Linked DNA regions of Drosophila melanogaster. The protein of the gene in region 2 interacts with the protein of the main gene of each other region in a pairwise test. Each region holds a gene or a part of one and is shown on either strand. Other genes may lie near its edges.

What was found.
Region 1: the proteins of CG42813 (region 2) and HDAC6 interact in a two-hybrid assay, tested with the Drosophila melanogaster proteins (one large-scale study listed by BioGRID).

The regions. Positions count from the first base shown.
Region 1 is NC_004354.4:15,326,651-15,344,511, reverse strand, and holds HDAC6 (histone deacetylase 6), read right to left. Parts: upstream 10,035-17,861; 5' UTR 9,862-10,034; coding exon of another isoform or gene 9,838-9,861; 5' UTR 9,556-9,837; coding exon 9,244-9,555; exon of another isoform or gene 9,163-9,243; coding exon 9,032-9,162; exon of another isoform or gene 8,967-9,031; coding exon 8,783-8,966; exon of another isoform or gene 8,541-8,782; intron 8,223-8,540; coding exon 7,951-8,222; intron 7,898-7,950; coding exon 6,490-7,897; intron 6,441-6,489; coding exon 5,808-6,440; intron 5,676-5,807; coding exon 5,588-5,675; coding exon of another isoform or gene 5,538-5,587; exon of another isoform or gene 5,420-5,537; intron 4,886-5,419; coding exon 4,497-4,885; coding exon of another isoform or gene 4,344-4,496; 3' UTR 4,152-4,343; downstream 1-4,151. Other genes in the region: CG12608 (uncharacterized protein), read left to right, coding at 21-779, 839-915, 1,010-1,505; CG9123 (uncharacterized protein), read left to right, coding at 2,532-3,290, 3,350-3,426, 3,521-3,989; CG9114 (uncharacterized protein), read left to right, coding at 11,570-12,968, 13,025-13,485; dah (discontinuous actin hexagon), read right to left, coding at 13,811-14,178, 14,241-14,400, 14,463-14,580, 14,645-15,502, 15,560-15,776, 15,840-16,068.
Region 2 is NT_033777.3:27,220,093-27,233,930, reverse strand, and holds CG42813 (uncharacterized protein), read left to right. Parts: upstream 1-5,369; 5' UTR 5,370-5,459; coding exon 5,460-5,863; intron 5,864-5,989; coding exon 5,990-6,224; 3' UTR 6,225-6,861; downstream 6,862-13,838. Other genes in the region: CG31068 (uncharacterized protein), read right to left, coding at 1-159; CG31064 (uncharacterized protein), read left to right, coding at 250-683, 746-996, 1,056-1,458, 3,266-3,363, 3,487-4,114; CG42814 (uncharacterized protein), read left to right, coding at 4,499-5,212.

The DNA.
Region 1 (17,861 bases), on a different chromosome or scaffold from region 2:
TTTCATTTCAAACCGCTGCCATGCCGCCGGAAATGGAGATCATAGTGGGCACCTACGAGGAGGTCCTGCTGGGCTTCAAGCTCATCAAATCGCCGACTGACGGCTTGACCGATTCCGTCAAATTTGAGCTGAAACAGACTTTTGCAGACAGCTCCCATGCAGGATCCATTACATCGGTGGCCGTGCAGTGGCCTTGGGTGGCCAGTGGCGGTACCGACGACAGGATCTTCGTCTACGACATGCGCACGCGGAAACAGTCGCAGATCATACTCTCGCACGCCGGAAGAGTGAACACACTGAAATTCACACCTGACCTGTCGCACTTGCTCTCCGGGAGCGACGATGGCCATATGATCGCCACACGCGTGGGCAGCTGGACCAAAGAGGGTGATTGGCAGAAGGCCCATGCCGGACAGGCCGTCACCCACATCAGTTGCCATCCCAGCAGCAAGTTGGCCTTATCTTTGGGCGGCGACCAGGTGCTGAACACCTGGAATCTGGTCAATGGCCGCGTCGCCTACAAGACCAATTTAAAGAACAAGGCTACGCTGGGTCTCCAACCGGGCTGCTTGTCGTGGTCCAAGCAGGGCGATCACTTCACACTTAGCGGTCCATTGGTTCTGGAGATCTGGGGCATCGAGAACGCTCATGTTATGCGTCGCATTGAGATGCCGGCGAAACCCATTTGCATCACCTGGCTGGATGGGAACGAGTGTTTAACTGGCCTGGACAACGGCAACATTGCCTGGATTTCCCTCAAGGACGAGGATGATACACCAGTAAGAATTGCACTTTCTCAGCCTGTTATCTATGATACTTAAATGCGCTTTCTTTGCAGCCCACCTTCATTCTTGCACACGAGGCAAGGGTCAAGGCCATCGCCTATCTGAACGAATTACTGGCCACCGTCTCCAGGTGAGTTATTCTATAAAAATCCAAGCTACACCCAGATAACTAAGAACACCCATCACATTATTCGTTTTTATATATACAAATTTATCTTTTCCAGCGCTGGTGAAATCAAAGTCTGGAAGATCGACATGGAAACGCGCAAGCTGGAGGAGATTGCCAGCAGCTTCATGGACTGCCGACCCACCGACTTGGGCCTGCTGGATCTCCGCCAGTTCGGCAATGTCCAACCGGTGGAACAACGCATTAAAGTGGAGGAGAAACCAAAGGCGAAAGTGGAGTCTGACCAAAGTGCCAAGCCTGCAGCACCTCGGGGATTCGTGACCATCGAGTACGAGCAGGATAAGAATCTGGATGCCGAGAAGAAGAAGGGAAAGGGGAAGAAGAACAAGATACAGGCAAAGAAGGCGCAACAGAAAGCCGAGGAATCCTCAGAAGAAAGCAACTCATCGGAAGAAAAGGAGAGCGACGACTTCTCCGACAGCGACAGCGATGTCTCCAGTGATCACGGCCACCGGAAGAGGAAGCCAATGAAGCGCAAGCAGCAACCCACTCCAGCCTCCAAGGGGAAGGCAAAGCAGCAGAAAAAGAAGTAGTTTTTAGTAGCTAACGTTATGACTATCAATAAATATTGAGTTAATCTAGAGATATAGATAAAAAAACCATAGATGAACTGTCGATTTGGCTGGGATGAACAGAATTATGAATAAATACCTCTGAACTTAAGAAGTTCGATCTCATTAACGAAACTAGAAACTGTTTTTGAAAAAAAAAACTAAAAAAAACACTTAAATTAATTATTAGATCATTAGTTGAAATTGTTAAACAATTTGCATTTGTGTAAATGGTAGGGTGACTGGTGCTGGTAATATATTAAATGTTCTACTGTTTTGAACTAAGATAAAGTTAGATAAAAGCAAATCACACGGCAGATTTTTGGTTAAAACCCGAAGATACATTGCTAAAACGTAATTTTCGCATGGATTTCAATTCAGTAAGGATTCAATAAAAATACTTTTCAAAAAACTCAATAAACACAAGATACTAAATGCACATAAATCATTAAGCAAATTGGTCAAAATAATAGCACTTCCTGTAAAGTATTTCCTGATTTTTTTCAGATTTATAGGGTATTTCACTATTTGCATTTCAAACAACTTTCCCGTTTAAATAAAATAGTAAATACGATATTGAATATATAACATGAGACATAAAACCATTTTTCAAATTATTTATATGTTTCGATGTTTTTGGCGAAAAACATAGATGTTGTTATAAAATATAAACAATCTTTTTTATCTTTAATCTTTTTCGATCATTGATCTTTTTTATTTAAGGATTATTTTTTAATATTTTAAATAAAAAGGCAGTATTTGGTGACAACCTTTTCATCCTCCAGCAATTGTTCTTAACATTCCTAGAAAAACATCGATGTTTCTGATATTTCGAAAACATCGATGTCATCGATGTTGGCGTAAAAAGTTTCTCCGCCTCTAACTTCGAATAGTCCTTGCCGCTGGAACACGTTTTGACAGCAGAAATAAATTCTTGAATAGAATTTAGTGACTTATTCGACAAATCCATTTAATTTTCCATTTCCATTTTCATTTCAAACCGCTGCCATGCCGCCGGAAATGGAGATCATAGAGGCCACCAACGAGGAGCTCCTGCTGGGCTTCAAGCTCATCAAATCGCCGACTGACGGCTTCACCGATTCCGTCAAATTCGAGCTGAAACAGACTTTTGCAGACAGCTCCTATGCAAGATCCATTACATCGCTGGCCGTGCAGTGGCCTTGGGTGGCCAGTGGCGGTACCGACGGCAGGATCTTCGTCTACGACATGCGCACGCGGAAACAGTCGCAGATCATACTCTCGCACGCCGGAAGAGTGAACACACTGAAATTCACGCCTGACCTGTCGCTCTTGCTCTCCGGGAGCGATGATGGCCATATGATCGCCACACGCGTGGGCAGCTGGACCAAAGAGTATGATTGGCAGAAGGCCCATGCCGGCCAGGCCGTCACCCATGTCAGTTGCCATCCCAGCAGCAAGTTGGCCTTATCTTTGGGCGGCGACCAGGTGCTGAACACCTGGAATCTGGTCAATGGCTGCGTCGCCCACAAGACCAATTTAAAGAACAAGGCTACGCTGGATTTCCAAACGGGCTGTTTGTCGTGGTCCAAGCAGGGCGATCACTTCACACTGAGCGGTCCATTGGTTCTGGAGATCTGGGGCATCGAGAACGCCCATGTTATGCGTCGCATTGAGATGCCGTCGAAACCCATTTGCATCACCTGGCTGGATGGGAACGAGTGTTTAACTGGCCTGGACAACGGCAACATTGCCTGGATTTCCCTCAAGGACGAGGATGATACACCAGTAAGAATTGCACTTTCTCAGCCTGTTATCTATGATACTTAAATGCGCTTTCTTTGCAGCCCACCTTCATTCTTGCACACGAGGTAAGGGTCAAGGCCATCGCCTATCTGAACGAATTCCTGGCCACCGTCTCCATGTGAGTTATTCTATAAAAATCCAAGCTACACCCAGATAACTAAGAACACCCATCACATTATTCGTTTTTATATATACAAATTTATCTTTTCCAGCGCTGGTCAAATCAAAGTCTGGAAGATCGACATGGAAACGCGCAAGCTGGAGGAGATTGCCCGCAGCTTCATGGACTGCCGACCCACCGACTTGGGCCTGCTGGATCTCCGCCAGTTCGGCAACGTCCGACCGGTGGAACAACGCACCAAAGTGGAGGAGAAACCAAAGGCGAAAGTGGAGTCTGACCAAAGTGCCAAGCCGGCAGCACCTCGGGGATTCGTGACCATCGAGTACGAGCAGGATAAGAAACTGGATGCCGAGAAGAAGAAGGAAAAGAAGAAGAACAAGAAAGACGAGGAATCCTCAGAAGAAAGCAACTCATCGGAAGACAAGGAGAACGACGACTTCTCCGACAGCGACAGCGATGTCTCCAGTGATCACGGCCACCGGAAGAGGAAGCCAATGAAGCGCGAGCAGCAACCCACTCCAGCTTCTAAGGGGAAGGCAAAGCAGCAGAAAAAGAAGTAATTTTTAGTAGCCAACGTTATGACTCAACAAATATTGAGTTAATCTAGAAATATAGATTAAATAAAACCGTGGATGAACTGTCGATTTGGCTGGGATGAACAGAATTATGAATAAATACCTCTGAACTTAAGAAGTTCGATCTCATTAACGAAACTAGAAACTGTATTCGAAAATAAACTCAAAAAACACTTGAATTATTTATTAGATCATTAGTTGATAACTTTAACAATTTGCATTTGTATAAATGGTATGGTGACTGGTGCCAGGATCTCCAGGGGATGACCGACCGGCTGCCAGTTGCAGCAGTTTTCAGATCAGTTGTGGGTGCGGGCTAGAGGATTGGATATGGGGTGCTCAGTGGGCCAGGAAGTAGTGCAACAGGTTAAGGTAAATGCGCTCCAGCAGCGGCCAGAGGTGCTCGGCCAGGAAATGGATTAGGTGCCTTAGTGGCGGGCAGAGCGCGCACAAGTAGTCCGTGAGGGCGTCCAGCACGCGGATGGCTAAGGGTCAGTTGTTGCGCTCCAGTCGCAGGCAAATGCTGCTACCGGCGCCATTATCATCATCGTCATCCTCATCTCGCCCATCGGGCCCCGTCGCATAGCAGCCATCCTCGCGCCACGCACACCCATGTGTCCAGGCCATCGGTTCCTGGAACTTGTCCTCGTGCAGCGGATTGAGGTAGGCATACAGGCGGGGATGGTCCACGTACGCGGAGCACGCGTAGCACCACACAGACAGGTCAGCCGTGCTCATCGCCAGCGGATGCTGCTCCTCCACTGAATGCTGCTCCATGTGGGCGTTCACATAGCGACCGCAGGCCACATGCCTGCAGCTCAGGCACACCCAGTTCTCCCCCGTCGATCCGCAAACGCTGCACTCCGCTCCGCTGTCTAGTGCTGATTTGGATGGGAAATCGTTGAGAAAGTATGTTAGTTGTGTCAGGATTGAGTAGCGTATAGCTCAAGAAGCTGTTCACATGCAGGCGATATATCAAATGTTCTAAAGTTTTAAACTAAGATAAAGTTAGATAAAAGCAAATCACACGGCAGATTTTTGGTTAAAACCCAAAGTTACATTGCTAAAACGTAAGGATTGAAGCAAAAAACCTTTTCAAAAAATGCAATAAACGCAAGGATACTGAAAGAAAAAACAGCCGCCAAGCACAAAAAGATTGCATGCCATATGCACATAAACCATTAAGCAGTTATAAGTAATTTAGAAAAATAGCCAATTGCTAATTTTAAGCACAAAAAGCAAAGAAAACGATGAACATTATAAGAAAGAAGAGTCCTTAAAATTGGTCAAAATAATAGCACTTCCTGTAAAGTATTTCCCGATTTTTTCAGATTTATAGGGTATTTCACTATATGCATTTCAAACAACTTCCCCATTTATATAAAATGTTAAATACGTTATTGAAGACTTAACTTGAGTCATAAAACCATTTTTCCAATTATTTTTATGGGTCACAGCATACAAATACAAAGATACAAAGAGATTCAATAACTGAATTTTTCTTGACAACTTGTTCACACTTAAGAAGTGCTATTATCTTGACCAAAAGGGGAGGGAATCTTCTCCGGACTGCATTGGCTTACATCGGGGCGCCTCCTCCGGACGTAGGAGCCTCAAGTGCGGACACGTCTTGAGCGGATACACGGCGAACATCTCACTCTGCTCGAGGGCCTGACACGCGAATGGGGATCGGGAACGGGATCGAGGGGCAGAGATTGCAGGGCATGGGATCGAGATGAAGAAAGGCACGAAAAGAAGCGATTAGTTGCCAGCTGAGGGATAAGCGCAGTGCTGTCCTCGTACCTCCTTGTTCTCCGCCAAGTAGTCGCTGAGCGTTTTTACCTTGACTTTGGGCTTGCTCCCGCTGGGCCGCTCATCGCCGCAGTCGGGACGATCGCCGGCGAGTCCGCCCGCCGCAGCCGTAGCATCGTCATTTGAGATATTCAAGTGTCGCAAGGAGGCGGTAAGAAAATCCTCGTTGTTGTTCTCGCCCACAACGGGATCCCGCGGCAGCCGCCGTCCGACGAACTCCAGCGAGCGCCAGTGGTTGCGCTGCACCTGCAGGCACTGCTGCAGCGATTCCACACAGCTCTGGAAGGCCACCGTTGGTGGCTTCTGCAGCGCCGTGGCTCCCAGCTGGGGCGTCGGCACGGGATCACCCAGCAGCGTCTTGGTGCACATGGTCATCGCGTACGAAATGGAGTTCACATTGTAGCCACCTTCCAGGCAAACGATTATCCGGCCGCTGGCCAAAGCCGACAGCCAGTGGGTGAGCATGCCGTAGCCCTCGGCCGTCACCTTGCATCCGCCCAAGGGATCGCCGATGGCAGCATCGAATCCGGCGGATACCAACACCAGCTGCGGATTGAACTCGTACGCAATGGGCATGATCAGCTGCTGGAAGGCCAGTGCGTACTCCAGGTCACCCATGCCCTTCTGCAAAGTGAGTGGAATGAGTTGGGCCCGTAAGTGTGCAAAAACCCACCTTGTTCCAGGGTATGTTCACATTGAAGCCCCTGCCGGCTCCCTTGCCCACCACATCGAAATTGCCATCGGGTCCCTTCGGGAAGAAGGAGCCGTGCTCGTAGCGATGTAAGCTGATGTAGAGCACCTTGGGATTGGACTCGAAAATGTGCTGCGTCCCATTGCCGTGATGGACGTCCCAGTCGACGATCAGCACACGCTCCAGACCGAAATCCCGAATGGCATACTGCGCCGCAATGGCCACATTGTTGAAAATGCAGAAGCCGTGCGGATGATCCTGCTCGGCATGATGGCCCGGCGGACGGACGTTGCAGATGCCGCTGCGGGACTCGCCACGCAGCACACTGTCCACCGCCTGCAGCACTAAACCGGCGGCCAGGGTGGCGCAATCGAAGGTGCGCGGATGCAGATACACCGAGTTGTAGATCCCAGCAGCGTCATGCAGTTCCTTCGGCTCGCGGCCCAGCAATCGACGCACTGTATTCACATGGGCGCGAGTGTGGGCCAGGCACACCTCGTCTGTGGTGGCCGCCCTGGGGGACAGTTGCTTCATCTGCTTCAGCAGACCGTAGTCGTCGTGCATCTTGTGGATGTGCTGGATGCGCGACGGCTGCTCCGGATGCCCCGTATCATTGAGATTGCAGTGCAGAAGCATTTGGGCATCGTAGGCATAACACACCTTAAACGACGGCACCGATAGCTTCGTCTCCGCGCGCAGCACCTGCAGACGAGCGGCATTGCTGGTCAGCTTTTCCGGCGGCAGCGGAATGGCCGTATCGCGCGTAGGGTAACGATCCATAGGCGGTGGTCCACCAATCCAATGGCGCAGTACCGTGTGCAGATCCTCTTCCTTATCCCGATCCTGCAATTCGACGCAATCGTAGGTCTGCTGGAGCTGCAGACATCGCCAGTGGGGTCGGTGCACGGCAATGCAGCTGAGCAGGGCCTGGGCGAGTTCCGCACGCGGCAGTGGCACTGTCTCCACCAGCGGCGGACAAGGATCGCCGAGCAGGGAGCGCAGGGTTAGGGCCGCACCCTCGGCCAGCGAGTCCAGGCAGTAGCCGCCCTCCAGAACGACGGCCACCCGGGCATCGGCCAGTCGCAGCAGCGGATTCAGCAGGTGCGGATAGCAGGCCGGCGTCACCTCCATCTCACCCTCCGGACAGCCCAGCGCCGCATCATAGCCAGCCGAAACGATGATCAGCTCCGGCTGGAATTCCAGGGCCACCGGCAGCAGCAGCTGCTGGAAAATGGCCAGGTAATCGCCATTGGTCATACCCGTCGCATTCAACGGCACATTGAAGTTGTATCCCGTGCCCGCTCCCGATCCAATGGCGTGGTAATCCGACTCGTGCAGATGCGGCCAGAAGCTTCCGTGCTCGAAGCGATGGATGGAGAAGTAAACCACCCTGAAACACACACACGATGAATGAGAATACTAAACATATATTGCCAACTTTACCTGGGATCGTTGTAGAAGAACCGCTGGGTTCCCTGCCCATGATGCACATCGTAGTCGATGATCAGGATGCGCTGCAGCTTGTGAACATCGAGGGCGTGCTGGGTGGCCAGTGCCACGTTGTTGAAGAAGCAATAACCGTTGTACTCGGCCTTCATCGCATGGTGACCCGGTGGCCGGATGATGGCCATGCCATTCTGCGCCTTTCCGGCGACCAGATGGTCCACCAATTCGATGGTGGAGCCGCTGGCCAGCAGGGAGAGCTCGAATGTGGACTGCGGGTGGGAGGCGGATAAGGTTATCAGTGTTCTATATATAACAAGTTCGGTGCTAGTAAAACAGCGGGAATCTTATCTAGGATGTAATAGTATGAGTACCAGCCCATTTTAACGAATTTACAGTGCGCTTCAGATTGCTGGAGGATTTAGCTAATGAAATATAAAGTAATAAAAGCTGCGGGCAGTCGTAATAATTAATAACTAAAGTTTGAGCAAACTAAATAAAGATTGCACGCAATATAAAGATAATGAATATCACAACAAGAATAGACATATTAGAATTACAATCGGGGAATAAATGCATTTTAAGTTCGGAGGTATAATCATTTGCATAATTTATGCCAGTCACTCAACCATTTACATTTATGCACCGCACTGTACCTGTGCAATGGGTCGCATCTAATCTAATCTGCTCCAATTTGCATTTATCAAGCCGTCGAATTAAAAACAACGCAATCTCCGCAAGCAATCAAGTGCAAATACAATAAAATGAGCTAATTTGGAGCCAGGCACTGGGATGCACTGTTCCATGTTCCCCGTTGGATGCGCTTGCTCACCGGATGAATGTAAATTGAATCGTAGCGGGAGCTCAGCTCCTCCATGCGCTCGTCATCGCGAATCCCGGACGTCTCCTTCAGCCGCTCGAAGTGCTCCTCTGTGTGCAGGCGCAGAATTTCATCCTTGGTCGCCGATCTCGAGGGCAACTCCAGGCAGCGCTCCGTCAGATTTAGTTCGCGACAGCTGGATGAGGAGATTAGGGAATACATATCAGCTTAATTTGTACCGTTTTCTTCAAATATACTCACCGTTCCAGGACTCGTGTGAAGCGCTCGGGACACTCGTAGTGCTCCTTGTCCCACAGGCAACAGTGCTGGCTCATGGACTCATCGTAGATCAGTGCCGTTGGTTTCCGCACCAGACTCTTGCTGTTGACAGCCTTTTCGTCGGCGACGATTAAATATCACTTGGTTAGGATTGCACAAGGACAGAGGATAGAGGTCAGTCAGATAGCACTCACATTCTGGAATATATCCGTGACGCTCTCCTGCGATCCGCAGCCCTGATTCTTGAGCATGTTGTTCCGAGCTCGACGTTTCGCCTCCAAGAGCGCTGCGTTCGGTTTGTTCGACTTTCGCGGATCGGCGGCATTAAATCCGCCGCTGATACTGCCGCTGCTGCTGCCGGTGCCGCCGGCCGCCGTCGCCGCCCCTGTCGTGCCCGTCTTCGATTTACTGGCCATTGCCCGTGTCTGAATCTTTGCCTGCTGCGCACTCCGTCGCGTGACGATGGGCGGGCTCTGCGAAAACGAATTTAAATCTTTAGTAAGCATTTCCCGCTAGGTAGACACACAACGCAGCTTCTGGCGGGGATTCATGCACAGATGGATCGCCAGTGCTGCTCCCACAGGCGAATTTGATTGCCCACTGGGGTGAGACAAGTGCTCAAGAATCCAGTTACCTAACCCTTTCCAAACAACCATATGTGGAATGGCATGAAAGATTTTACCAATGTTACCACATAAAAAAGCAACTCTCGGCCTTTTTCAATCGAAGATTACGGCGATTGACATAGGACTTTAGGAATCTGGATTGCAACTAATCTGGATTAAAACCTGTATCCAAATATCGCGTAACATCTATGGTCTGTAACTTTTTCGGTTAACTGCTTAAAATTTTGTTTACTATTTGCAAAAATGTAGTTTTTTTGCTGTTGCTAAACATTTAATCATGTTTTACGTTACACTATGCTAGAATATTAAAAATTTGAAACATGTCAAAAAAACTTCAAATCTGGACTGTTGGGTTTATTGCTCAAATTAATACTGTACAGTTTGTAAACTTCAAATATATGTTTATATTTCTTTTTAACTTCAAAAACCGAACATTGAGGTTTCACTGTATTTGGAACAACTACACGATAGTTTCGAAAAGCATAGCTTAAATATATCTTGTAGCTGTACTTAGACTCATATAAACAACCTCTTAGGACTTTGAAACCGTATATTCAGAGCGTTCTTCACGCGGAGGCTGCACTGCGTTTTCAGCGGACAACTGTTTACCACGAAGTTCGGATTGGAACTGCGGCGATGGAGGAGCTCAAAACCTGGCCAAGAAGCTTGCACTGTACGTGTGTGTGTGGTGTGTGGGTGTTGCTGTTTGGTTGCCACTGCCGCTTTTGGCCAAAACAACTCGAAAACGGCGGCAATAATCTGCCAGTACTCACCATGTTTGTGGGATTTCGAGTTGGCAAGCAAAGCTAAACCGATCCGAAGAAAACAGAATCGAACCAAGCGAAATCCGTATCCGAATCGGAGTCCAAATCCGAATATATATGGAAGTGGAGCAACTGGAGTGACTGAAAGCGCGGGGGAGCGGGACGGAGTGATTCACAGCTGCTTTTTGTTGTTGTTGTCGCTTTTTAATATCGCATTTACAGTATTTATATTTATTGGTTACTCCTATTCCGCTCCTCGACTCCCGTTATTTATCGATTCCTTGCAGCACACTTTTCTTTTATAAATTAGCCTTATTTTGTGTCTCGCTCTTACAGCCGCACCGAATGCTTGTGTGTGTTTGCGCTTCAAATGCTCTGCATTTGTGTTGTTGTCTTTTATCGTTGTTCTTGTTGTTTCTTACGTGTGTGTGCTGCTTGCAAACAGCTAATACTTAAAACACTGAGCAACAAAATTAAGCTTTTGCAGGCGATTGTCTTTTGATTTTTGGTAACGTTGCAGTTGATGCAGAAGATGCAGCAACAGTAACAGATACACAGACACTGCAGCGCGCACACACACAAGGACACGCGGGAAATCAGAACCTGAACCAGAAATCACACACAAGAATGTGGGGCCCGGTTTGTGGAGCGCTGTGGGGGTTGCGAGGCGGAGCGAGAGAGAGAGACGGTGAGCGCGAGAGACAGAGTGAGAGAGATGGGAAATGAGAACGCGCGGGCGGAGCGGAGTGCAATGTTTGTGTGGCGTCTTCTTCTTGCTACTTACAACGATCAGCTGCTCCGCCGATTGACACAACTTGTTGAATAATCGGTGTTAGTCGAGGGCCAACGTTATCAGCTTATCGATGTGCGTTTTTTATGAGAAATTGCTTGATTATGAGAGAAAGTGGAGGGCACAGATTGGTTAGGCAACACTGATTGTGTTTATGCGGTGTTAAAGACTTACCTCTCGCTAAAAGGAGCATTCGAAACTCGATTAATATTGGTTTTTCCATTTCAAAATAGCCTAATATCGTTCACCGCATCGATAACTACTACTTGAATTCAATAGCTATCGATTCGAAGGGCTTTCGAGTCAAGGGCGCCACATCCATCTTGTGGCTTCCGCATCCATGCTGCCGTTTGTCCAGGAGAATGTGCCGGAGATGCTGCTCCAGCCGGCCCGGTTGGCCTTCTGCGCCAATCTTCACGTGGGCCGACCGCGGGATGACCCCACTACATTGGTTTTAGCGAGAAACCTAAAGTTCTACGAATTCCGGCGCAAGGATCTGGTGCACTACATCGATTTGAAGGTCACGAAACTAAAGCAAATAGCCACCCAACTGGAGGCCTACGACGGACCGGTTTGTCCCTTTCTGTCCAAGCAGGAACCCACTGACGAAAAGGTGGACTGGAGCATGCTGGATCCGCCGGAGGATTTGCCCCTCAAATTTGGAAAGTTTGTGTGGCAACGGGAGGGCATCTACCTGTTAATTCAGTGCTGGAAGCATCTCGTCGTCCTAAAGAGGCCCAAGGATCACGGGGCCAACTTCGAACTGGTGGCGGATCACAAGGATGTGGTGGACTACCAGATGGTCGAAGGTCCCATTTCCTTCCAGGCCGTTGTGGAACTGGAGTTCGGCAATGGCAAGCGTCAGCGTTGTGATTTCCAGGAGGATTTCTTAAATGAGGAGCCCAGCACGTCCAAAAATGCGGGCTTGCCCGCGAAGGATTTCGAGAACCTGCTGCAGGAGGTGCACCGCGCCCAAGCCGAGCTCGACAGCCAGCGAATGCAAAACCAGAAGGAATTAGCCCACGTCCAAGACCTTCTATACTTCGGCACGCCGGGCCAGCGTTCGCTGCTCCTTGAGGAGAAGCAGCCGCTCCGACGACTCGGCGATGTATGGACTCGGATCTGCGGCGATTATTTTGTTTGTGGCACTCTGCTAGTCAACATAACTGGCACCAATCGCCTCACCATAGTCAAGGAGTTGTATCCGATTGTTGTAATCGAACCACACACCGACTTTAGCGTGGAGCACCGCCTGTACGAGCTGCCTCTGCAGGCGGATGGCCAACCACCCGAGGACTACGACCAGCTGGCGCAGTTTTGGGCCTGCCAGGATCAGCATAGCAGGCGTCTCAAATGGCGACCGGTGGAGAAGGAAAGAATACTACCGCCGGAACGATCTGCCGCGATGGTAGTGAGCCTGCGTCTGGTCGATCTTCTTGAGGCAGAGAAACTCATATTGATGGCAACGTACGAGATGGGCGAGGATGCATCCCCTAGGCAAATCCATCTCATTACCTTCGATGTGAAGAAACTGCTCGATAAAACAGAATCGTTGGCACCCACATTTTCGCCCGCCACGCTGCACCAAGACTTTTTGGCCGTTATTATGACGCACACGGCACGTTGCTCCCTGAAATTGGAGTTCCAGTCGGCCCAGGATTGCACGACATTCGAGCAGCTACTCGTCTCCACGCTGCAGTTTCAGTTGATCCAAGCCCAGGAAGCAAACAAGGAGCCGAGTGAGTAGCTTTGTCAAGACCACTTGTTGTCCCTTTTAACTCATAATCCCTTACAGCTTCCGACTTGCTGGACGACAGTGAGCCTGGGTCTCACTTTCAGTCTTCCAACATCGCCGCCGATCCTGTCCAGCGTATTTTCTACAATCGCCAGCCGCAGTCACAGTGGTGTGACACCTTGCTGCTTCGCGACGATCCCGGAAAGCATTGGCATGTGTACGCCAGAACGGACGATCGATTGCGTCTGCTACTGCATCGCCTGACGCGCGATCTCCTCCAGCTGCACTGCAACCTCAATGTGCTAGAGGTCGCTGAGCACAACATGTCGCCTGCCGACATGGAGATGGAGTTGCTAAACAGTCTGTTCGAGGAGATGGACGCCTGGAAGGTTTTGAGTGAGCCGGCAGCCAGTGTGGAGCAGCGCCGGGAGCAGCTGACGCAGCTCCACAAGGCACAAATGGCCAGCGATGTGTTGGCTTCTATGCTATTCACCGATGATGATGATGACAATGGGGCGTAAATGCGTTTTTTTTTTCTTCTCTTTGCATTGGAAAATCTACAAAGTTGATATTTTGTATGTAAATGCTTTGTTAACAATGTGTTTTTTGCATTGTATATTTTTATAAAAACATTTTGTTGTATTGCATTCTTGTCAGAGTTGTAAGTTTACAAATTAAAGCATTTACGCGAATGTTAAAGCACATGGGAAAAGGAAGAAGGATATAATAAATGCATGACTCGGTTGTGTCATTTTGTCACGATTACTTTAGAACAACTTTACAACTTAAAGCTAAGTGGACTTGGTCTGGCTGGAATCGATGGGAGTTGGTATCCGATCCGGATCCTCACGTGCTGATGCGCCGCTGCTGCTCCTCGCTCTTGATGATGCTATCGAGAACGTTCTCCAGATTTTGCGTGGCCGCCGACAGTTCGGCATTATCGCTGTACGAGTCCTCGACGATCTCCTTGACCTTGTGCAGCAGCAGCTTAAAGTTCACCATCTCGGTGTCGCGGCCATCTCCGCCGTTTGCCGGCTGCTGTTCCAGTAGAGCACCCAGCGGCATGGGCAGCGGCAGAGGAGCCGGCAGGGAACCAGGTCCTTGTCCTGGCTGGACACTCGAGCGACGCTGGTCGAACCACAAGCTTATGTCGTTGAGCGAGTAATCCGATTTGTTTGCCTCCAGATAGCTGCGATTCAAGTCGGCGCCATTTACTACAAGAAACGATTAACTTAGTGGAGCTGTCTCATGGCTCTGTTGAAGGTTCTCTTCTTACTGGAGTGCGTGAGATTGGCACCCACGGGCGCATACATGTCGAATAGCATCTGTCGCTGAGGCGTGCTGGAGCTAAGGAACGTGGAGCTGACTAGGGGCGCAGCTGAAGGCGCCACTTGGGCAGCTGGCGCAGGTGGCGGCGAAGTTACCGCTGAGGCATGCTGCAAGTGTATATAAATGGAGTTAGCTCAGCTTAAATGGGCCGAATGTTTGGAAAACTCACTGATAGCTGTCGCATATCCTCGATAATCTGCAGCAGAAAGCACTGATGGGCGCTCAGAAACTGCGATATTTCCGAACTAGATGCGGTGGCCACTGTTTGCAGCTGGGTTTCCAGCTTCCTGAAATGCAAGAGAACCTTAAGGCTTGGCTAACAAGTGTGGCGAAAGAAGGGAAAACACCCACGCATTTTGCAAAAGCAATCGATCGATGATGGACTGCAGCCTGCTGGACGCCTCGCTGGCTAGACCCGTCAGGGAGCAGAGCTCCTGCTGCTGTTGCTGCAGGACAACTGTGCGGTCCTTCTCCTGGCACTGACTGCGCACACTGCGCGTCTCTGCGGGAATGGGCGTGGCAGCGGATTGACCCAAGGCGGGCCCACTCTCCTGCGCATTACAGAAGCCGCGACGCTCCTCCTCCTGTGTTTTGCGCGGCATCACCAGCCAGCCGCACAGCCTGGCCAGGTGGCGGGTCCAACGCAATGGCGGCTGATCCTCCACGAAGACCTCGCACATCCGATGACCCGGCTCGTGGCGACCACCAGCGAAGCCCACTGCAAAGCAGGGCAGGCACAACGATATATCCCTACACACCTGACACCGGAAACGTATGCCCACAATGTGCTCCTTGCGGCAGCCGGCACAAGAATTACTGTGAATCAAATGCTCGGTGTCCTCGATGCGTTTCACCAGTGCCAGCAGATTGCCATAGATCAGGAATCTCGTCTGGACACCCGCTCCCGTCCAGAGTTTGTGGAACTGCGGCTCGGTCAGTCCACCAACGCCATGCGGACAGCGGGCAAAGCACTGCTCCATAGCCAACGGAAGATTGTGGACGCCATAGGCCTTGGCCTCGCCCAAATAGCTGAGTAACTTGCTCAGCGTGGCTAGGAGCTGTTCGAATGCATATCTGGAGATGATCTGCGACTTGGGATCGGCCAGCAGGCCAAAGATGTCGCCCACCAGGTGATCGCTGCTATATAGCTTGCACAGCAGTATGAAGGTGATCCTGATCTCTAACAGGGATATGGAGTGTCTGCGTTGCCTAGCGAAACCAATCAAATATCAGACATATTCTTAAGATGCCAGAAACTCAACCCACGGATCGTAGACATTCCAGAAGAAGTTGGCCAACAGCCCGGTTGCCCTGTCCAGTTTATAGTTCGCATCCTGGTTGAAATGGCCTAGTTTCTCGCAGGCAAAGTATACATCGTGCAGCAGGGAGGTCAACTGGAATGGAGGAACCATCAGTTCCAGGCCACCACTCAAGTTATGGCGATCCAAAATGGCCAAAACCAGCTTGTAGGGGATTTTTCCAGCTGCAATTTGAAGGTTAATCCTTGGGGACTCCTTCGAATGGACCACCTACGCGACTGACTCACTGTGAAATATCTTTTGCAGCGCCACAAATTTACTGGCGCACCGGTATACCGTGTACTTGTAATTCCCGTAATCCCGCTGCAAGTCATCCATGATGGTGGATAGCTCTTTGTCCACCTGTTGCTTTTGTCCTTGGCCACCTTGGGATCCCTTTTCGCGGGCAATGGACGCCACGGCCTCGGCGCTATTTCGCAGTTTTGTCAGCTGCACGGGCACCGACGATCTCAGCATTTTGTCAGGCGTTTATTGTTATATATTTCCCTTGATTCTCGAATTAATTTCAGTCTCTTTTAAACGCGTCGTTTCTCGCGATCTCTTCCTCTTCCGTTAGCGCAAAAGTCAAATTGTGTGGCGTGAGGTGGCAACGCCGCGCGTGTTATCGATATCACTTCGCCGAACCGTTAGCGCTTTAAATTTGATTCAAAATTATTATTATCATTAATTAAGTCATCCGTTCGTTCTAAGAATATTTGACCATGATATAATAATTGGTAAATAAGTTTGAGCAACGGGAAATGTAAACTGAACAACTTGGGTTCACCATAGTATTTTCCCAATTTCAAAAACAAAACAAAGTTATTTAAAAACCCTTCTTTTGAATGCGAATAATTACCCAAAACGAGGAAATGGAAAGAGTGTCACATAGATTTTAAAATTAAATATATATTTTATGTATATTTGCATCATTCCATTGCAATTACATTCACTTATGCTATTTTGTTTTTCATTTACTTTGCTTTCGATTTAAAATAGTGGGTTTCTTATCATTTCGCTTGTTGTTTTTTGTTTGCTTATATCAATATTATAATATGCCAAGTTTATATGTGAGTGTTGTGGCGGGGCGGGGCGGGGCTGGGCGTTCGAAGAAGGGTTCGTAATTAGTTTATTTAACTTTTTTTTTTGCCTTTTAAAAGCATTCTCCCGCTTCCGTATGCGAATCCACGACAAACGCACACAGATGTTTGCGTTCACATTATATCAATCACTAATTATAATATGTGTTTGGGCGTGTGTGTGTGTGTGTTTATATGTATGTATATAAAGATCGTTCGCTCTTCATTTGCAATGCGCGTTTGCCATTTATGCTAGGGGGGGCGTGAGGCGAGATATAAATTTCCATCGATTTGCTTAGTTAAAAGTACGGCCATAATCGTAGCTGATGGGATTGGGGCACATGGATGTTGGGGATGTTCCTAACTCCACCTGAATCCACTGCTCTCGTCGACTGAAGGATTCAAGTGAAGGCTCGATTTTTACAAGGTTTAAGGTATAGTTTTAGCTCACTTAATTGCACATACTTCTATAGATTCTATATGTATAAAGTTCCTTTCTTTCAGATTAAAGTTCTTTCTTTCGCTGCGACTGGTTTGCTGGCTGTGTTTCTGTTTTGGTTCATCGAGTTATTTGAATTGCTCGTTTGATTTGTATCTGCAATTGGTTTTCAGTGTGATGGCGGCTTGGTTTGCGGTTGAGAACTTGAAACCTGTCTGCTTAGAGTATAGAAAGTTAAGGGTCTGTCTGCAAATCAATTTAGCATTTGTATATTTCGAAATGTTAACTAAAATGATCATAAGGTACGAAATCAAAGCGAAACCACATCGAGATCCATCCAATGTGGCTTTGTTCTTCATTTTCGGGGGCGGTCGGTCGACAAATAGCGCTGCTTCAGAGTTGAATTGAATAAATTATGCTATGCTAAAAGTTGGGCTACAAGGTTTCTCTGTTCAGTTTGCACTTATACAAATTATTATTATTATTATGATAGATAGAATAGTTTACAAAACTAGACTAACTTAGATAGTATAGCATTAGCTACGGGGCTTACAGCTATATTTATTTACAATGTTATTATATCTTAATTTAGTTAATATCTAATTTGGTAACTAATTGCTGGCTTGTTATGTACAAATGCCTGTTTTTGTTTTTGTTTTTTGTTTTCGCTAAACAAAATCAACTATAGGTAAACATAAAAAAAATTGCGTTTTAAATTGTATAATTTTCGTTTGCTTTTGCTATTAAATATA
Region 2 (13,838 bases):
GCGGTAATCCCGCAGCTCCGAGCTGAGCATGGATTGCAGGGTCAGTTCGTTTTGGAAATCGTTTGTGGGCACCTCCAAAGTAGCCAGGTCGATGCTGTATATGGGACAACCCCCGGGTGCCAGAAAGAAAAGCAGCCAGGAGAGCACATGAAGTTTCATTACTCAGTTAATCAGTTGTCAGTTGTTTTGAAGCAAATTTCTGCGCCGGCCGAGTCTTTAATCTGGGAACCACCGTTCCTCCATTTGCAGCCCGGGACACGGCGGAAATTGAGCGCAGTAATCTGGTGAATATCTGCAAGCTGGTGGTCAAGGAGCTGTTGGAGCAGTCGCTGCGTTATGGTCGCATGCTGGACTCGGATCACCTGCCGTTGCAGCATTTCTTCATCGTCATCGAGCATGTCCTGGGGCATGGATTGCGCCCGAAGAAGGGTCTGCTGGGACCGAGGAAGGAATTGTGGGATCTGCTGCAGAGCGTCGAGCATTACTGCCCGGAGGCGCAGGACATTACGGCGAGTGTAAGGGATCTGCCCACCGTTCGTACCCACATTGGCCGCGCTCGAGCCTGGCTGAGGATCGCTTTGATGCAAAAGAAGCTATCGGATTACCTGCAGGCACTCATCGAGCACCGGGAGGATTCACTCTTCGACTACTATGAGCCACATGCTCTGATGATGAGCGATGAGGTTAGGCTGCGCGCAATCTTCTCAAGGAATCCCTTTAACCCATCCATCTCTTCCTGCTTCAGATCGTTGTGATAATGGGCATTTTGGTGGGCTTAAACGTGATCGATTGCAATCTGTGCGTCAAGGAGGAGGATCTGGACTCACAGCAGGGCGTCATCGACTTCTCGTTGTACCTGCGTTCAAGCTCGAGAAACGCCGATGCGGCTCCAGAAGACAGTGCTCCGCCTGCTCTGCTGGATGCCACTGGGCAGGGCAACATGATTGCGGTGCTGGACCAGAAGAACTACATTGAGGAGCTCAACAGGCATCTAAAGTGGGTTTCGGCTGTTGTTATGAAGTGCCTCCCCAGCTAAGTTATTCCTCATTTTTCAGCGCCACTGTGGGCAATCTGCAGGCCAAAGTAGAGTCCTTAACGACCACAAATGCCCTGATGAAAGAGGATTTGGCAATCGCTCGGAATAGCTTGTTGGCCTTGCAGGCCGAGAACCAGGCCATGCGACAGTCCACGTCGGCAGGGGACAACAATTCAACTGGTTCGGGTGGTTCATCCGACAAGGACAAGGAGAAGGCGTCCGAAGAGCTGGTTGAGGAGCGTCGCAAGAACAGCGAGCTGGAGAAGGAGCTCAAATTGCAGGTGTCCCTCAAGGCGGAATCGGACATGGCCATGAAACTGCTGGAGAAGGATATTCACGAAAAGCAGGACACGATAGTCTCACTGCGCCGCCAGCTGGACGATATCAAGCAGATCAACCTGGAGATGTACCGAAAGCTGCAGGTGAGTAGTCATCATCAGGGTGGGTCTATTTTGGTTGGAGTCTGGGTAATCTGCATTTGATTTCCTGGGCGGACAAACAAAATGACTCATTCTCATTACACTCATTACACTGCTCACAACTCATCTATCCACATTCATTCGCTCATCTGGTTCGTAGCTCTGGTATCATTTCACTTTGTGTTTTAAGCTTTGGTTTATAGTTTAGTCATTTGCTCCAAGTAAATCGGTTTAAGCCTTCAAGTCAAAAAGTAATCCCGTCTAAAATTTAACCAGGAATGTGAAGATGAACTCACACAGAAGGGCGAGATGGTCTCGCGCCTGCAAACGAAAGCCTCACAAATTGGTAACATTTTACAATCGCTAGAAAAGAAATACGAATCGAAGCTCATCGACCAGCAACACCATGGACCAGGATCGGGATCGGGCACTGGAGCAGGAACTGGAGCTGGGAACGGAGCCATTGGCGGAGACCGATCGCCGAACACGCGGCGACAGCAGAATCTGGAAAAGTTCGAGGCGCTCACCAAGAAGCACAAACAGGACGCTGGCCCGCCCATGAAGCGTATGCATCTCAAGATGGACGCCTTTCCGCCCTTCGATCCCAGCAAGTATCGCAAGTCACCGCGCCAGCCGGATGCGCCCAACACGGAGGAACTGCAGCAGAGCAAGGATGCCAAGACGCCCACGTCCGCCAAGTCCCTGAACGATGAGCTAGCCGAGGCGGCGGCTGCGGTGACCCAGCACTTTGGGGTGGATGCATCCCAAAGCGATTATGTCCTGTGCCGCGAGCAGGCCGCCGATGGAGAAACTTAAGCTAAGCTAAGGCTAAATAAGAATACTTAAGATACTTAATTTATAAGGCCAGTTTCGGTTTTCACAGAATGAGTTCTACATAAATGTATTAACTTGTTCGTTTTTTTTTTTAATTGAAATCTAATCTGAAACTAGTTTAATATATTTACTCAATGTATTTAGTGCCTGACTGCATTTAAACCTAAGCATAAATTCATTTGTTCAACTATTATTTGGCTTTCTAAAGAGATCCTCTTTGAAATAATGATCTATGTAATGTCTGATCCAAAGATCAGTCCACTAAAGTTAGCATGTGAAAATCGGAACGGCCTGCATTGCTCTCAACATTCCAAGGACCTGGATCGCCACTCAAAGTCCGGATCCAGGTGCCGAAGGGAAATCAAACTGCTTAACAAGACTCTCAATTCGGGAGACCACAACTAAATGAACACCATAGACAGTGTGTACCATATATAGGATGCCTTTACTCCGTAGACCAGATCCTTTTAGAGGAAAGTATACCAGATACCAGAATTGTTTTGAATAACTTATGTATGCAACCTGTTAGCTAAATTATCTACCCAGAGTCCCCGTAAACAAAGATTATATATGTACGATTATATTGTAACCATACGTCGTTGTATATATGTATAGTGTGATTAAGAGGCTTCAGATGTTTATTATACATATGTATGTACGTATGGGATACCCACGCAATCGCTTATATTGTAATTATACACTCAGTCTAGTCAAATACAAATAATAATATTATTGTAATTATATACTATGAATAAATATCGAGACTATATGAATCTACAAATCCATGCAATGTACTATACGCGTTGGAACTTCTGCATATATTCTAATCCACGTACTCCTCCAAATCGAACCCAGAGAAATAAAACTTATCCGAACCTCAAGTCTTTCATTTTCCACCATACTAACATCGAGATTAAAGTTAACGACGACAGATTACAACAACGTTGGTACATCCGATTATTTTCTTCGTTGGCAGGACTGTAAGGCGTCGTTAACGCACAAAACGGAGCTGATGACCAAGTTGGAGGTCCAAAAGGAGGACATGGCCAGCACCATCGATCAGCTGGAGAAGAAGTAAGATGGCGGGGAAGGTACTGATCCGGAGCTAATTTTGTTAGCTTCTGGATCATGAAGTTACTTTCCGAATATACGCAAGATAAAGAAATCCTCATAAACCCCTGTTTTTCCCCTCCGCAGGTGGAGTCATGATAAGAGCAACCTGGGGGAGATTCTCAAGACCACGTCGCAAACACTGACCACCCAGGTGACCGCCAGTGAGGAGCGGGCTGCCCGGGCGGAGGCCGAGTCGAGGATCGAACGCGAGTGGCGGATATCGCTGCAGGAGAAGGAGCTGAAGCTAAAGGAGAAGATAGCCAATCTGCAGGGCTGCCTCAAGGAACTGTCGGAGGAGAAGGAGAGGAATGGCAAGCTGAAGGCTGATCTGGACAAGGTGCGAACGCAATGGTCGGAGGCACAAACGACACTGGAGGAGCTCGGCATCCAGCTGAGCGTGAGCAAACTAAAGGTGTCGGAGATGCAGGATCAGGAGCGTCGCCAGCGCCAGCTGCTCTCCGGCTCCGCCCAATCGCTGCAAGCCATGCCCGAGGCGGTGGGTAGTCCGGGGATCTGGGCACCGGACTCCATTGCCACCCACTGCACCGCCTGCGAGCGGGAGTTCAATCTTACGCGACGGAAGCACCACTGCCGCAGCTGCGGCGAGATTTTCTGCAAGGCCTGTTCGGAGCACACGCTGCCCCTCCTCAATGCCCAGGGTCAGCCGGGGAAACCAGTGCGTGTGTGTGACAATTGCTATGCCGCCAAATGATGATGTGCTCTGCATGCTGGACATGGGTGACTGGTTCGACTAGGAGTTGTGGGGGCGGGCGAGATTGAATATTTATAAGCAAACATCCTGTTCCATTTAATGGTAATATTGTGCTCGTATCGTATGTAATAATAATGAGATAATTGAAATATTCCTAAATTTTATTGATGTCAACCGCCCCTTCAAGAATCGCAACCTTTGACCACTTGACCTAATGATTAATACCCTTTTTGGGGATATATGTATATTATAGTACATTTATGCAGTTGTGTAAACAAATTATTAAAATTGTGTTACAAAACTTATTAAACTAAACAAACAAACGTTGGAAAATCATTCATAACTATTTAAAAACCATCGAAATGCTTTTCAAAAACACAAAACATGTTAAGACTACTGGGCAGTTTGGGTCGCTCCTGCTGCTCGTCAGCCAAATCGGGCTTCAAGATCCAGCCAAGTTGTATTTCAAAGATTTGGTTTGGTCCGATGCCCAAGGATTCGAATTGGATTAAGCCAGGTCGACTTCACTACATCGAAAACGATGTGGAGAAACAGGTGGACATTATCAAAACCATAGATGGTGTGGTCGTGATTCTGTACAACAAAGCGAGGGAAAAACTAATCTTCGTGCGTCAATTTAGGGGAGCAGTTTACCAGGGAATACATTCGGCTGGATCACCAGACATGTCCAAGGGAGAAGCTGATCTGGAGCAGTTTCCTCCCGAAGTAGGAGTCACTTTGGAACTTTGCGGTGGCGCCGTGGACAAGGACAAAAGCCTGGCGGAGATCGCCAAGGAGGAAGTCCTCGAAGAGTGCGGTTACGAGGTGCCCACCGAATCCCTGCAGCATGTCTACGACTATAGGTCGGGTATTGGTACCTCAAGTAGTGCCATGTCTCTGTTCTACTGCGAGGTGTGTGATGCTCAGAAGGTCTCGGCGGGCGGTGGCATTGGAGAAGAGCGAATCCAGGTGCTAGAAATGTCCTTGGAGGAGTCGAGGCAGCTGGTCCAAACTGGGGCGACCACCAATGGTGGACCATCCTGTTTGCTGGGTCTGCTTTGGTTCTTTCAGCACAAGGCACCCAAGGTTTTAGCTTAGCATAGTAGGGTTAAACACTTTAAATATACTAATTAGCTAATATATTAATTAATTTATTTTGCTTGTTGTAACGAACTTTTCAAATTCGAATAGTATTACCATCTGCTGCCTGGCATTAAACGTCAAAAAAAAGCTCTCCCGAGATAAAAGCTGCCATCTGATTGTGGCTACCCACCGCCGGCTGGAGCTTTCGCAGTCAGCTGATTGCCACTGCCGTGTTTTCGTGCACCAAGTCCACTTTTTCAGCATGGAGAACGTTTCCAAGATTTGGCTGGGTCCCCTGCCCCAGGATTCGCCGTACGTAAAGCCCTTCCGGCTGTACTACGTCCAGAATGGCGTGGAGAAGAACTGGGACCTGCTGAAGGTCCACGATAGTGTGGCTATTATCTTGTACAACACTTCTCGCCAGAAACTGGTCCTGGTCCGCCAGTTCCGACCCGCCGTCTACCACGGCATCATCTCCAGCGCCAAGGGCACCTTCGATGAGGTGGACCTCAAGGAGTTCCCGCCCGCCATCGGTGTCACCTTGGAACTGTGCGCCGGCATCGTGGACAAAAACAAAAGCTGGGTGGAAATCGCTCGGGAGGAAGTGGTCGAGGAGTGTGGCTACGATGTGCCCGTGGAACGCATTGAGGAAGTCATGGTCTACAGGTAAATGGGTGTGCATATATTGTTATATAAATAGAATAGAATATACAATTTTAAATATCTTAATTGATTTTTCAAAATCCATCCTTCACAACTTGCTTGATGCATAACCAACTCAATCCTTTGCAGATCTGGAGTTGGTTCATCGGGTGCCAAGCAGACCATGTACTACTGCGAGGTGACCGATGCGGACAAGGCCACAGGTGGTGGCGGCGTCGACGACGAGATCATCGAGGTGGTGGAGCTGTCCCTGGAGGAGGCCAAGCGGATGATCCAACAGGGAGCCGTCAACAACAGCCCGCCCAGCTGCCTGATGGGCCTGATGTGGTTCTTCGCCAACAGGGCACCCGGTGCGAAGGCCTAGAGGCGAACGCTGTTGCTGTTGATTCACCCAGATAAGCGGCGGCCGTGATAAGATGATAAGATGATAAGATGCGTCCGCATCCGCAGCGTTGCCTTATACACATCTTTTAGTCAACACCAACCATTTCGAATGCTTTCCAACCGAGCGCATTGTGAGTGCGCCTAGCGCACACGATATAATACTGAAATTCCCGTGCCTGTCGAGGCTTACCTTATGATATGTATACCGTGTAATATGTAATAAACCCTGGCCAGCTGTCCGCTCATGAATTCGGTCAAGACGTCTCTCCCACTTCCATCTCAGCTGCGAGTTCCACTCCCACCGCGGCTGCCAAGTGCATAAATCGCCTATAAATCAAAATGCCGCAAGACGCTGCTGCCGCAGAAGCTCCAAACGGGTTCCGCTTTTCTCCGATCTAAACCTATCCGATCCGATGCGATGCGATGGGATGGGACCTGGTACTGTGGAGGACCCATACCCATACCCATACCCATCTCATCCCATCCGCAGCGAAGCGAAGCTGTGTGCCGTTTTTGGGCCCCTGTCGGGCAGCGTGTTGCTGGGATCAGGTTACTTATTTATACACGGCCAGGGACTTTAGCTTCCATGAACGCTCCTGGTACTCCTGATCACAGAGAAAGAAATATCGCGCCGCTAGGAAATCATCCTTATATCTATCTATACATTCATTCGTTCATTCATTCAATTTATTAGCTTAAAATGATATTATTTTGTCTTTTTGTCTTATTGCTTGATATTATAGTTTGTAAAATCCATTGTAAAGGCAGGAAATATGAATCATCACTTTCCAAGATGATATATTTCTATATATATACTTTCTAGTTGTTACTGATATATACAATACTTTTGTATTTTCATTTATCACGCAATTATTTACCGTGCACCAGCATCTATCCATCCTCCAGCCTCGGATCCATCCTCCATTTCCATCCATCCCGGTTCAGCGGTCATGGCGAGTGGCGGCGTGGAAATTTATTTACCCCAGAGCCATGATTTGGCAATATTTCAACATTGTAATAGAATTTCTTTTGGCCTATTCAGACTTGACTTCCTTTTCGGCGGATCTCCCCTGCTCCAACGCAATGGTCCCTGTACCATATACCCCTGCTCCAGCTCCAGCTTCAGCTCCGACTCCATCTCCCAAATCCCCTCCTGCATCCTTCGCATGTACGTGCATTCGATTTGCCGCTGATAATCAAGGCCGGTTCTTTGTTGTTGTCTGCTGTTCGCTTGCGTGTTAACCTCATGTAAATTATGGACTCGAGGCGGAGGAGCCGTCGGCAGCGGAGTCAACAAAAATGCGAGTGTTGAAATTATATTTAATTTGCATATGTTGGCGGACGACCGGGCTGTCCAGGAGTCCCCTTAGGGGAATCGAGGATGCAAATGAGTTGAGGGAGTTCCACGTGGATCAGGTGTAATGTCGACAACAGGAATTTGTCACGAAAGCAGTCGCTCTCAAACTGTTGCCACAGTGGCTCTACAAAGGTTGAGGTTTGTGAAGGACTGAACTGGTTATGGAAAATGAAATGAAGAAGAATTATGAATTATGGGTCTAACATATTTCGCTTCTTTAATTCAATGTATAATTTATATTTTTTTATGAAAACCAAATTTAGACTGTGTTGTTCATTTCAGTTCCCTTGAAACCTCCAATGAATGAAAGCGCGTCTCCTTTGCACTAATTTAATGGCCGTTGCGTATTCCAGAGCGATTTCTTTTGATTTGTCTGGCGACAGTTTCGCCGGCAGCAGGCCATTACGGCTGCAGCTATCGCCGCTGCGTTTGCAGCAGATGCTGCTTCAGTTGCAGTTACAGTTGCAGTTGCTTCCTCATCGTACTGAAACCCATCTGTCGCCTGTCACCTGCTGCCGTTTGAAGTGGTCGCTGTTGCTCCCCAAGGTGCAAATCGAAGTCATCACACAAACTGATTGCCTTTACACTCAGAAAAATATCAGTATAAATATAAATTAGTATATGCTTGAAATGTATGCAGACAAATCAGAAAAATGTATAAGAAAGAGAACCCACTTTAAATTATTTAAACACAATAATGTATAAATTTAAATGCTATCTCGTTTCAAATAATTCGTAGTTATTTTCCGTGTGACTTTACCTTTTGGCTTTGCTCAGTTGCGCAAGTCCGAAGTACAGAATTGCAATTATTTCATAATCACGTCCCAATTTATGTGCTGCCGGAGCAGCCGGAGCGGCGATAGCCCAGAGATTGCCATTTCGAATCAAAGCGTCTTTCTATTCCTGCGCACCCAACTGACCTCCAGTGGCTGGGGGGCTATAGCTTTGCAGCTCTGGCCCCTGAGAATCCAATCCCAATCGTAAAATGGCGTCCGCACATGGTCGGGGCATGGTCGGATCTGGGGGGGCGGTGGGGAGACCGCTCAGTTCTGGGATGGGATGGGAAGACGGAAGATCAAGAAATCGCGATCATGGCTCGGTTTCCAGTGCGCATGCGAAAATTAAGTGCAGCCAGCAACAATCATAACAACAACAGCAAAATTACCTGTAAAACAGTTATGGTTTTTGTTGTTTCTGCTGCCGCTGCTGCTGTGGAGCAATAATGAAATTTTTTATCGGATTTGATTATAAGTTGCCCAGCTACAGCCCGGCCACCCCGCCGTCGTAATCTGCCAATAAGAAGAAAAGTAAGCGAGGTAGGTACACTGGGAATAATAGTTCGAAAACAACCACTTTATATTCTATAGAAAAGTTTCTAGTACTAAGGTATCACATGATGTCTCATAATCATGTTCCTTTTTGGTTTATTCTCTTCAAGGCAAGTGAGTAGCATTTTCTTTCAGTGTTCCGTACTGGTAGCTGCCTAGCAGGGAATGGAATTGGGTTGGCCATTGGCGGGGATTCGGAGGAAACTATGTAGCCGCCGCTCATTGATTCCGCCTACCGTCCATTGGCCGTTGTCCGTCGTGATGCACTTTAATGAAATGAAATCTTATACTATCATGAGGCACATGAACTGTAAAGCCGAAGCTGTAGCTGAATCTGCAGCCAAAACCAAAACCAAAGACTCCGAACTGCAGTCCGCGGCCGCAGCTTTGCCCACTCAAAATGTATAATTATCTGGCGGTTTTATCCGTTTGCCAATATTAAATTTCTCATCACGCCCAGAGAGAGGAAAATGCAGTTGCAGTGGCTGCTCCCGAAGCTGCCGCTTCACCTGGGATTCGTTCTTGTCGGTGCCTACAGGTGGGTGGGGTAGGGTAGCAGGAGGCATCGGAGGAGCTGCGGAGCGAAAGGAGGTGGGGAGGGATGTCCCGCTTCATGGGCACGGGCGCCGTCAAACAATTAATAAAAGGCCAAATGTCTGCAATGAAATTTATGCGGCTGCCTTTGCCATCGAGTTATATATAGGCTTCGGATTTCGGCCCGAAGTTTTGCTTTTCCGCTCCTGACGCGCCAGTGGCCAAAAGGAAAAGGCTCCGTTGGCGGCTTTACCGTTGCACTGTTCCATGGACTTTCTAAAATCGATGCCACCAGCTTGGGGGTCGAGGGCTTCTTGGGGCGTTGTTCCTGCACCTTGCTCTCTGGTCGCCGAGATCCGGAGATATGTGCTCCGCAAGGTGCGGCATCCGACAGATTGGGCACAAGAACTGCCACAAATGTGTGTCAAGTGGCTACACAATGCCTGAAAACAATACAACAGGCGAACATAATTATGGTTATTAACAGCGAATCAGTTTAGAATTAATAATTATTGAAGTTCGTTTTTGCACAGCAGTGGAAATAGCTAGTTCGTGTTTTAAGTCTTTTGATTTCGCCATGAGAAACGAAATTAGCTCAGTGCCATACAAAATACACAGAGCAATGATTGAATGTTTTTTTGCGTAATTAAACTATTGCTTTAACTATTTATCCAATTTGAATTATTTTATTATTTTTTGCCAGATTTATTTTTCTCACAAGAGCAGCCTTAACATTAATCGCCACTCCGCTAACCTTTAAATATTGATCCATTTCCCAGCCTCACTAAGAAATTCGGCACTGTGGTTGGCCCCTTGCACGTGTTGTCATTTTAATTGCCTGCCAAGTGCGAAGAAATATTTTTGGCCAAATGCGTATAATTGAAATTAAGTCATAAATGGTTAAAAATGCCGACCGAGCGCGGCATATTGGACATGGCTAGCAAATACTAATGAAGCCCGGCCAAGTCGGCCCAGATGGCGAAAAAATTTCACACTCTTTGCCTTGATTTATGACACTCCGACATAGCACATAACACACCACGGACAACTTCCGTGCAAGGAAACCCGTCGTCCAGTGGCTCCAAAACCGCCACACCTGCCCAACTGATTGATTTGCAGGCCTTTTGCACTCGAAGCCAACTTTAATTACGCGCACTTTTTGGCCTCCTCAAGTTACCAAGCTCTCTTTGTCTCGATCCATTCTCTGTTTCTCCAATGATTTCTCTTGGCCTGCTCTTAAATGGGTTACCTCTTTTGCCGTCGAAAACTCTCTTAGCCACTCGTTAGAGCCGACTTAGATGTGTGCTCCGCCCCCTTGGAGCGCAATTCGAGAAACCACAAACCGCAGGCCGCCAAAAAAAACCACAAAGAAAGTGCCAAAATGGGGCGATACGAATTAACTTTGCCGTTGGGCTTTAATTAGTTGTTTTAGTTAAACTGGCAGCCACGTTGAGTGACTCATCTGCTGCTATCTGTGTGGTCCGAAATGTGGATGTAAATTCACAAGGACTGGAACTTAATTAGCAATGATTATTCAGACATTTCTGCCGTATTAACCATTTAAACCTATTCCCTATATTGTTTTCATTTTCTAGTCTATATTAAATTATTACTGAAAAGCATTCCTTTTTCATAAGATATATCTACATCGAGATTTAGATGATTCGGAAACCTTCTTTTTTTTTTGGGTAGAATTTCGTTCGAATAAGTCACGTGAGCATTTAAAGGGTTAACAAGAAGGAGCGACCACACAATTAAAAATCATTTGCATATCAAACAATAAAACAAGCAATCCAACGAGAAGCCCACCAGATACAGATACATCGATGACTAAGGACGGCCAGACTGGGAAGTCGGCAAGGGAAAAGTGAAACTTGGCCTGATCTGGCTGATAAGCCGGAGGGAAGGCCGCCTGCACGGACACACACACACACACACACACACCGAAGTAATGGCGCATTAAAAGTCAAAGTCAAAATCAACAAAGCACCGAGATGGCCTAAACAAGATCCTGATAAGGAACCAATACCAATCATGATGATGGCAAGATGCGGTCCGCGGATCGGGGATTCGGGTATTCGGGCAGCTGCCACCGGCGACGTCCGGCGATCCGGTGATTCGGCGGCGATCTCGACGACAACGTTGACCGCAACAACTTTGTTGCCGCTTGCCAGTTGTTGAACTTAACGCGAAATCTTTCTGTCTGGGAAATTAACTACAGTGAAGCCTTATTCTCAATCAAAAAACATCTTTATAATGAATGGTCAATCAGAGTTTTACTTATAAATCGAAATTCAGATCAATTTTATTTAGGCCAAATCTCAAGAATATCATACAACACATAGAGTTCAACTCGCCTTGGTTCCACTGTCTATAAAAATCTCAGGAAAAAAAAGAGTGTATCTTCTAAACGGCAGCACATTTCGCCAGGGGCCAACTTCCACTGGCAAGAAGTCTGTAAATGTCTGAGACTTCGTATGCATTTTGAAGGAGTCGAGTTGATCCGAGGTGAGCTGAGCTGAACGGACAGCGATCGTTGTTTCTGGTCGGTTTGGCTGGGTTATCTGATTTTAATTAAACGGCATCGCATAATAAATTATCTTCATTAGGGTTGAATCGCTGCGATGGGAGCCTCATGCCGAAGCCGAAACCGAAATCAAACAGAATCGAGTTGGAGTCTGGAGCCTGACGAAATATTCGAGCAATCGACTGGCGGAGCGATCAACCCCTTACTTACTACCACACTCCTGGCCGCCCGGACATCTCCTCCCAACCCCCATTCCTATGTGGCCATAAATCAAAACAAGCCCATCCACTGATGCATTGCGTGTGTTCCACTCCTAGTCGCTCCCCTTTCGGCCATCGATCCGCCGTGGACTCATGTTCATTAATGAAAAACCGGACCAACTGTCAAACAGAATCTGCAAATCATTCGACGCGACGGCTGTGCGCCGTTGACAGTTGGAAAAGCGCTGCCGCCGAGTCCGGGAAAAATCAACACATGCTTAGATAATAAAAAAAAAATGGTTAAATAAAAAAACCTGAAGTAAAAAGTGAACTCGATTGTGTGGCTAATTGGTGTCAGTCGAAGACTGAATGTGCTTTCAATTCAAGAACTTAATAAACTTAATAAAGCCAGGAATAATTTATATTAAATCTGAAATATGATATATGGGATATATGATATTCTAATGCCAAATAGAATTCTAAGTACTATAAATAGTATTTTGTTATAAAAACATCTTGTCTTAAATATTTTGTACCTCAGAGATTTTGAAATGGAAAATGTATTTCTTATCGCAGATTTCTAGTGTTATTGTTATAACAAATAATTTGTACAAATCATGTTTTGACATTACTTCTCTGAATAGTCACGTCAAATGAGTGGTTAACAGGCGTAATCTTCTAGATCGCATATCTTTCCGTGAAAGAGTGCTTACGATACCGGCAAGCTGATCTAACCCCGCGATGAGAGTATCTGAGGGTATGTGGAATCAATCGGGAGAAGATTTAACTGGAAGTGGAGCACAAACCGGTTGCACATGGTCAACTGATTGACGAGTTGCGTACCTCAAATGTGCAGCTAACACGCACACAGGTGCGTGCCCCTCGAGGAGCATCCAAGTGTGGATGTGTGGGTATTTTATTTATTTATTTTTTTTCAGCTTTTTGTTTATTTCCTTGCGATCATCAATAATGCCAGCCAAAGGAAGCGCATGTACATGTCCGTGTAGCGCTTAATGATCTTGAAATCGAAGTTGCATTAGCATTGAATGTGCGCATGCGCAGCAGTCGCAAAATGTTTCAATTATTTGTGGGCATTGGAGAGAGATAAAGCAGCGACCAGCAACAAATTATGAATAATCGAGTTCATTAATCAAGTGTTAATCTTCATGCATGGGCATGGGCATCGGCCGCATTACAGGCCGAACACACCAGAAATAATGGTAGATACAAGACCAAAATCTAACCCAAAACAGCCGCCAGCCTCCGAGCCGAAATCTCTAATTTATTGCCTACCAAGCATTTGGCTAATGAAGACATAAAAACCGCAATCAAATTAAATATTTTTCTTCATGGGAACAAAATGTAAACGGACCGCATTACTCATCCAACATCTTAGTTGGCTTGGAAATTGTTTTGGGACCTCATATAACCTTGTCTGGCCACCAAGTGGAACTAAACTGCTTGGCGCCCTTTAAACCTTTTGTCTCACACCGAATCGAAGCTGAATTATATCTCACACTCCTTTCCATCTAGAAGTTCAATGATTTTCTGGACCAAATTCCAATTTGTGCTCGAATTTTAATCAAGACTTTATTATACAACTTTATGCCCCTTCGCAAGGCGTGAAAATTTAATTTGTACATTGCAA